Linked DNA regions of Xenopus tropicalis. The protein of the gene in region 1 interacts with the protein of each later gene in a biochemical or structural test. Links are inferred from orthologs where the notes say so. Each region holds a gene or a part of one and is shown in the gene's direction. Other genes may lie near its edges.

Region 1 (3,060 bases):
CATTTAGGGCTCTCTAACATGATGGCTGATGGTGAATTCCTACGAACCAGCTGCGGTTCCCCTAATTACGCTGCTCCGGAAGTTATCTCAGGAAGGTATGTAGTAAACCTCAGTGAGGCTTAATGTAATAAATATGGGACGGGCACTGTAGCAGCAGTATCCGCCTGTTAGAAATGAATCTCTGAATCACCTAAGTAAGCAAACTCCTTATCGTTTATTGGTCTGTTCCTTTGGGCAGTGTGTATGGCATTTGGAGTGTGTTTGCGGGTAGGATTCAGGAACATGGTGAAAACCTCTTTTTATTGGCTATAATGTATATGTAATGTTTGTTTTGGTTTTTTTTGTACTGTGCCTGGGCATAAAACATGCAGGACAACTGGGCCTTTTTTTTTAAATGTAAACTTCAGAAAATAAATGTTTTTTTTTCTTTTTCTGGCCCTGTGGAATCCCTGGAGGCACTGGGGTTTTTATTGAAGTCTCTGAAAATTCTAACTTGTAAAGAGTTTCCCTCTATTCTAGCTATCTTGGCCAGAATGAGCTATGGTTGGAATGGTGCCTAAACTCCAGTTGTCCCCAAAAGGGCTCATCTGCCAACAGACCCAGGCCCACCACAGCTAACCCATTGCCGCCACCTTCCTACTCAGTAAGTCAGATTGTACTAAATAGGCATTGAACCTCTCCATGTGTTGTTGCAGGCTTTATGCTGGCCCAGAGGTGGACATATGGAGCTGCGGGGTCATCCTGTATGCGTTACTCTGTGGAACTCTCCCTTTTGATGATGATCATGTGCCAACACTTTTTAAGAAGATATGTGATGGCATCTTCTACACACCCCAGTACCTGAACCCTCCCGTCATTAGCCTTCTAAAGCACATGCTGCTGGTGGATCCCATGAAAAGGGCAACCATCAAAGATATTCGGTAAGTTCTTGAACTGTTAAAAACCACTTAAAGGTATGCTGTCATGATGTTGTTAAATTACACTTATTTACATGGCAAATAATTCACTATACCATTTAAAGGAGAAGGAAAGGCAAAAGTCACTTAAATCGCCCACCTTTTACCCCGGGCTGGTGCCCCTGCTCGGAGAGAACAGCAACAGCCCGGGGCAGGTGCAGCGCTTCCTCCTTCCTTTTCGCTTGCGCGCGCATGCTCAGTAGGGTGAATAGTGGAACTTTAACAGAGAAGTCGGCTTTTTACTCTAATGCACATGCTCCGGGAATTTGCCAGCAAAACGAAGGAGGAAGCGCTCGCTACAGGTACCCCGGGCTGGTGCTGTTTTCTCCAAACAGGGACACCAGCCGGGGGTACAAGGTAAGCGATTAAAGTCACTTGGGGGTGCCTAACATTTTGGAACCCCAAGTGATTTGCCTTTTATTGTGCCTGAGTCTGAGCTTTCAGAAGGAGCCAGTGCTCCATGTTAGAACTGCTTTCAGGTAACCTATTGTTTCTCCTACTCCCATGTAAATAGAGGAGTCCCAAGCCGGAGTCTATGCTTAACGGTGCATTACTGTAAAACAAAAGTAAAAAACTAGATTTATTTAATATTCTTGTATTCCTAAACTGATACTCTGCCTCTTAGGGAACATGAATGGTTCAAGCTAGATCTTCCTAAATATCTGTTTCCCGAGGATCCATCGTACAGTTCCAATATGATAGACGACGAAGCCTTAAAAGAAGTGTGTGAGAAGTGCGAGTGCTTGGAGGAGGAAGTGCTGAGCTGCTTGTACAGTCGCAACCACCAGGACCCGTTGGCAGTCGCCTACCATCTGATCATAGATAATCGCCGCATAATGAATGAGGCCAAAGACTTCTATTTGGCTACCAGCCCTCCGGATTCCTTTATGGAAGAGCCTCAAGTTGCTCGGCCTCACCCAGAGAGAGTTCCCTTTTTAGTGGCCGAGTCACCCCGGCAACGACACACTCTCGATGAGTTAAACCCACAAAAGACCAAACACCAGGTTGGTGTGAGAAGAGCCAAATGGCATTTAGGCATTCGAAGTCAGAGCCGCCCAAACGATATCATGGCAGAGGTTTGCCGAGCAATGAAACAGCTGGGCTATGAGTGGAAGGTAAGCTCTTGCACTTGGGTTTCTTTCTGCAAGCTTTTACTAACACTGTAAGGGAAGAGGTGCCGTGGGCCCAGTGTCGGACTGGGAACCCAGGGGCCCATTGGAAAACCTAAGACCATGGGCCCAATCTCTGAACAGTTTTTCCTCCTTTTCTCAATAAACCACTTTATTCTCCTAGTCTCTCTTATTTACATGCTAGCATCTATTCTTCCATCTATTTCTCCTCTTTGTTCCCATTCAGAAATAGGTAATGACCATGAAACAGGCCAAATGACCAGAAGCAGGAGGGCCCACTGACCCCTGGGCCCACCGGGAGTTTTCCTGGTATGCTGGTGGGCCAGTCCAACACTGCGTGGGCCCCCATTCATGGGATGGATAAGTCCATTTAAAGGAACAGTAACTCGAAAAAAATGATAGTGTTTTAAAGTAATTATAATAAAGTGTACCTCTGCCCTGCACAGCTAGAATGGGTGTGTTAGCTTCAGAATCACTACTATAATATATATAAGCAAGCTGCTGTGTAGCAATGGAGGCAATTGAAATAGGGATTAATGGTGCAGGTTAATTAGCAGGTTACAGATTAGGTCTGTGAAATATAATATAGTGTTCTACAGAGCTTATCTGCTATATAACATGAGCCTTTTCCCCTATGAATGGCTACCTTCATAGCTACACAGCAGCTTATGTATATAAACTATAGAAGTGTTTCTGTAGCAAACACTCCCATGTTACCAGTGTTGGGGCAACAGTACAATATATTTTATAATTACATTAAACCACTTATTTTTTGGTGTTACTGTTCCTTTAAGTCTGTAGCGACAGATTCATAACTGCATTGATCCATGTGCAAGGGACTACATTTGATCCATGTGCAAGAGACTAATTTCCCTTATTATTTTTCCCATATTGAGGTTGTAAATCCATACTACCTGCGCGTAAGAAGGAAGAATCCCGTTACTAGCATGTACACTAAGATGAGCCTCCAGCTG
Region 2 (4,444 bases), on another chromosome or scaffold:
TTTAGATTTTACATTGTCTTGAAATTTAAGAGGTATGTTACAATTAGTAATGTGCAGCATGGGCCGCCCTACTATACCCCCAGAATGAATACTTAACCAACAGATAGTTTATATAATTTTAAGTGACCTAGTAATCTCACCAAAATGGAATATATATATATATCAGTAAATATTGCCCAGCTCTAACCGTAACAGGAAGTAGTGTGGGAGTTAAAGACAGAACCCTGTCTATTCATTGGCTGATGGGGCCTAGCATGTATGTGTGCCTTGGCTTGTTTGTGTGCACTGTGAATCCTATGATCCCAGGGGGTGGCCCTTAATTCTTAAAATGGCAATTTTCTATTTATGATTACGCAATAGCACAAACTACTAAAAATGTCTATTTTTATGAAAATGGTTTATTTAGATGAAGCAGGGTTTTACGTATGAGCTTGCTTATGCAATATATTTTTGTAGAGACCTACATTGTTGGGGGCTATAGTTCTCCTTTAATGGTGGTTTCAATCCCAGTTTACAGTTTGGTTCAATCAAAAATAGTGAGAACTTTGCCATAGGCTGCGTGTGGCTTAAAGAGCAGAATTTTTTTTTTTTTATAAGGAAATTGTTCAGTGCAGGAGATACTGCAGTGTCCCTGCCCTAGTTCAGGTGGGGGAGTAAGGAGCAGGGCGCAAGGTGTGGACTATAATGCCAAAAGGTACCCCTACAAACAGAGATAACTCTATAAAGGAGATTCCCCAGTGGTGAAAGAGACCCAGTGGGGCACTGACTAATATAATACATGTAAAGCATGTTTTGAAGCACTTTTAATGTTTCTAATGTTTTATTTCCTGTTTATGACAAAAAAAAACTACTTATGCCTGCCGCCCAGTATCCTCATGATAGTTACGTTTTAAACAACAATATATCCAAGATGTGCGTGTTCCACACTTACGGCAGCTAACATTCCACAACCAATATGGCGCCAGCACACAGTCATATAAGCATGGGAACCCTCTCACGTGTGCTACAATCAGAACGCAAACTAGCCTGCGTACGGTCAGCCTATCCCCGCGATTTCTCTATTTGACAGGGAAAGTAGTCACCAGTTGATTTAATAGCCAATTCTGTTCTAGCGCTTATACCTATGCTTGGAATTCACGTTGTCATTCATATTTTCTTTTTTTGTCTTGTTTTAAAAGATTTTAAAGTAGCGCGATTTTTTAGCCTAAGTTGCACTGTACGACATTCTGCAACTCGCTGCCATGTTGAAACTCGTTTCTGGTGATGTAAACAAGTAATGCATCCGGGTAAAGGCGTCCTGACGCAAGGCGGCGCAGCGCGCTTACGTCAGGACGCCGCTTTGTATAAAAGGCGAGGCGAGGCCTAGTTCAGCCTCTCTTCGGTCGCTTTAGGCCCGGTGTCTACCATCTGTCTCCATCCTTTGCCGGTGGAGCGGTTTCGGACTCATCGCAGCCATGACTGAGCAAATGACACTTCGGGGGACCCTAAAGGGCCATAATGGCTGGGTCACGCAAATCGCGACTACCCCACAATTCCCGGACATGATTCTCAGCTCTTCCAGAGGTGAGATGCATGAGACGCCTACTGTAGCCTATCGATCCACGCAAGTTTATATGCATTGCGGTATCCGGGACCCCGTTTATCGTTAGAACAAGAGCATGAATGCTTACACGTTGCTTTTTTCAGCCCTGGTAAATGTGATTGCTGTAACTACTTAGTGTCGCTGTGTGATATGTTACTGTATCGGGGCTAAAATGGCTCCTCATTCATTATGCGTCATTGGAAGTCCTAACTATAATGAAGCTTTTCTTTATCTGTCGTTTTGATTAGCAAGGGAAAGATGGTGGTAGATTTTGCGGGCTAACTTACCTTTTAATTATGGTGTGAGCGATATATGATGTATAGTGGCAGCTATTGTTTGCTAGAACTTTGTTCCTTAGCCCTTGGTACTGAAGAATTTGCAGGCTGACAATGCCATAGAGTTGTATGAGCAGTGGTGGAAGTGTTTTTTCTTTGCACATCTCATGTCTTCATTTTTCTTGCATACTAGATAACCTCATTCTTCTGGCAGTTTGGGTTGTGCAAAGGAAAAACATCTTCACCTGCTTACAGACATAAAATGAGACACCGTAGACCAATGACAAGGTATGGCATGGCTTCGCTGTGATGGCATGGTTTATTTTGGGAGGGTTACCCCTGTGTGGAACTGCCTTGTTGGAGGTTTACTGCATAGAAGTTGAGGTTACCACTTATTTAAATCAGCAATAGTGTTCTTATGTCCTTTGACTTTTTTTTTTTTTTTTTTTTCCTCTCTGCACAGATAAGACTGTCATCATGTGGAAGCTGACTCGTGATGAAACAAACTATGGGGTTCCACAACGTGCTCTCCGGGGTCACTCCCACTTTGTCAGTGATGTGGTTATCTCTTCAGATGGGCAGTTCGCTCTCTCAGGATCCTGGGATGGAACACTCAGACTGTGGGATCTTACAACGTGAGTACACTTATCCTTGTTCCATTACCTGGCCTGTTAAATGGCTGCTTTTCAGAATGTTCAGCAAAAGTTACTGATCAGCAGCAGGGAATTAGACATGGTTTCAGTACTACAGAATTTGACTTATTACTTGGATAGAAGGAATGACTGGACTAACTTTAGCATTAAGAATCATTTGAGTCCACTTACTGTCAGACCAGAATATCCCTGCAGGGGAAGCATATGACAAAGGACCAGTTAAATAGTAACCTAGGTAGAGGGAAGCTATGAATCTGTCCCTCCCCCTGCAGGGTGGCACAGAAAGGAGTGTTCTGAGGGGAATGGATACTGTCATTTTGTCATCGTGTCAAATATCCCTCTGCAGTGGCACCACCACACGCCGGTTTGTAGGACACACCAAAGATGTCCTGAGTGTCGCTTTCTCTGCTGACAACCGGCAAATTGTGTCTGGATCCCGTGACAAAACAATCAAGCTGTGGAACACTTTAGGCGTTTGTAAATACACTGTGCAGGTATGTATGAGCGTTATAACTATATTTTAGTTCTGTTGGTCCACGTGATTAGAACAATTGTATTCTGAGTGTCTAATATAGGCACACTAATTTCAGGATGACACTCCTGCAATTATGAAGGGACCAAATAAACAGTCATTCTAGGTCTTTTGGCAGGCTGTTTACTAATGAAGCTGTCTTTCTTAGGAGGAATCACATACTGAATGGGTGTCCTGTGTCCGGTTCTCCCCTAACAGCAGTAATCCCATCATTGTATCCTGCGGCTGGGACAAGATGGTGAAGGTGAGTATTTTGGATGCCTCCAGTCTTAATACGGGTTCAGAGTTTTTTTTTTTTTTTTTTTTTTTTTTTTAAATGCATACTTGTTTGGTAAGTAAAGTGTTAAGCAGCTTTAAAGCGTTTTCACTCCCCCTTTAAATAGTGCACTACTGACCCCTCTTAAACAAGTACTAAGAACTAAGCCCTGAAAATAAGTGGCTAGAGATGCCCACTTTTATATACTGAATGTTCAGGTCTTCTGCAGTTGTCACGGGAACTCCCCATCTTGGATTTTATTAGTGTCGGTGACACTCGTGCTCAGTGTGCAGTTGAGATGCTAAGTCTAGGGGTTGTCGCAAATTTTCTAGCCTGTCAATAGTTCTAAGCTCGGGAAACAGAACAGAACAGAACATGTGCAGTGAATCATCAGAAAAGATGGGAAGCTACTGGGGCACATTACTTCTAAAGGGCTATGATTTCCTAGGGCTGTTACAAAAGCGCAAAACACATAATGTAAAAATAATTATGCCCTACTTCTGTAGTTAATCTTGCAGCTCTGCTTTCAGCCCCCATACATGGGCCTACCAGACACAGCATTTGAGTGATGAATGAATATTGTAGTGGCAGTACATGTGTGGCTTTTTTTTCTATTCAGTGTCGACACTGAACAAATTAGACAAATTGCAGAGTTGCTGCTTCCCTTCTGGCTGACTGGAAATTGGCCATGAGGACTGCTGATCCTTGATCTACCAGAATCATGGAATTATTTATCTTCCCCCCCCCCCCCCCCCCATCCTTTTGTATTGGCTATATAGGCACACAAAGTAGGCCCATATGGTCAAAATTGGCCAAACTACCCTACCAAGTCATGGCCAGTATCCTCTTGCACCTTTTTAAGAATACCATATGGTACAGGTTGTTTACTATATGAAATCTTTCTCTCCATAGTTTAACATCTGTGGATATGTACATAGTGCATTTAATCTTTTTTTTCTGTGTACACATCCTTGGATTCCAGTAGCCTATAGTTGTATTCTAAATGACTTTTCTTATTTCAGGTCTGGAATCTGGCCAATTGCAAACTGAAGACCAACCACATTGGTCACAGTGGTTACTTGAACACTGTTACGGTGTCACCTGATGGGTCTCTGTGTGCTTCTGGAGGCAAGGTACGAAACGTCA

Evidence for each region. The genes of interacting proteins can lie anywhere in the genome.
Region 2: of the proteins of prkaa1 (region 1) and rack1, one has a biochemical effect on the other in vitro, tested with the Homo sapiens proteins (2 studies listed by BioGRID). The link is inferred for Xenopus tropicalis from reciprocal best matches to the Homo sapiens genes PRKAA1 and RACK1.

Annotation. Positions count from the first base shown.
Region 1 is NC_030677.2:195,921,020-195,924,079, forward strand, and holds part of prkaa1 (5'-AMP-activated protein kinase catalytic subunit alpha-1), read left to right. Parts: intron 1-7; coding exon 8-95; intron 96-695; coding exon 696-920; intron 921-1,581; coding exon 1,582-2,071; intron 2,072-2,982; coding exon 2,983-3,060. UniProt on the Homo sapiens protein: Catalytic subunit of AMP-activated protein kinase (AMPK), an energy sensor protein kinase that plays a key role in regulating cellular energy metabolism.
Region 2 is NC_030684.2:71,557,347-71,561,790, reverse strand, and holds the start of rack1 (receptor of activated protein C kinase 1), read left to right. Parts: upstream 1-1,385; 5' UTR 1,386-1,454; coding exon 1,455-1,563; exon of another isoform or gene 1,564-1,691; intron 1,692-2,050; exon of another isoform or gene 2,051-2,145; intron 2,146-2,320; coding exon 2,321-2,492; intron 2,493-2,856; coding exon 2,857-3,004; intron 3,005-3,190; coding exon 3,191-3,286; intron 3,287-4,320; coding exon 4,321-4,431; intron 4,432-4,444. UniProt on the Homo sapiens protein: Scaffolding protein involved in the recruitment, assembly and/or regulation of a variety of signaling molecules. Interacts with a wide variety of proteins and plays a role in many cellular processes.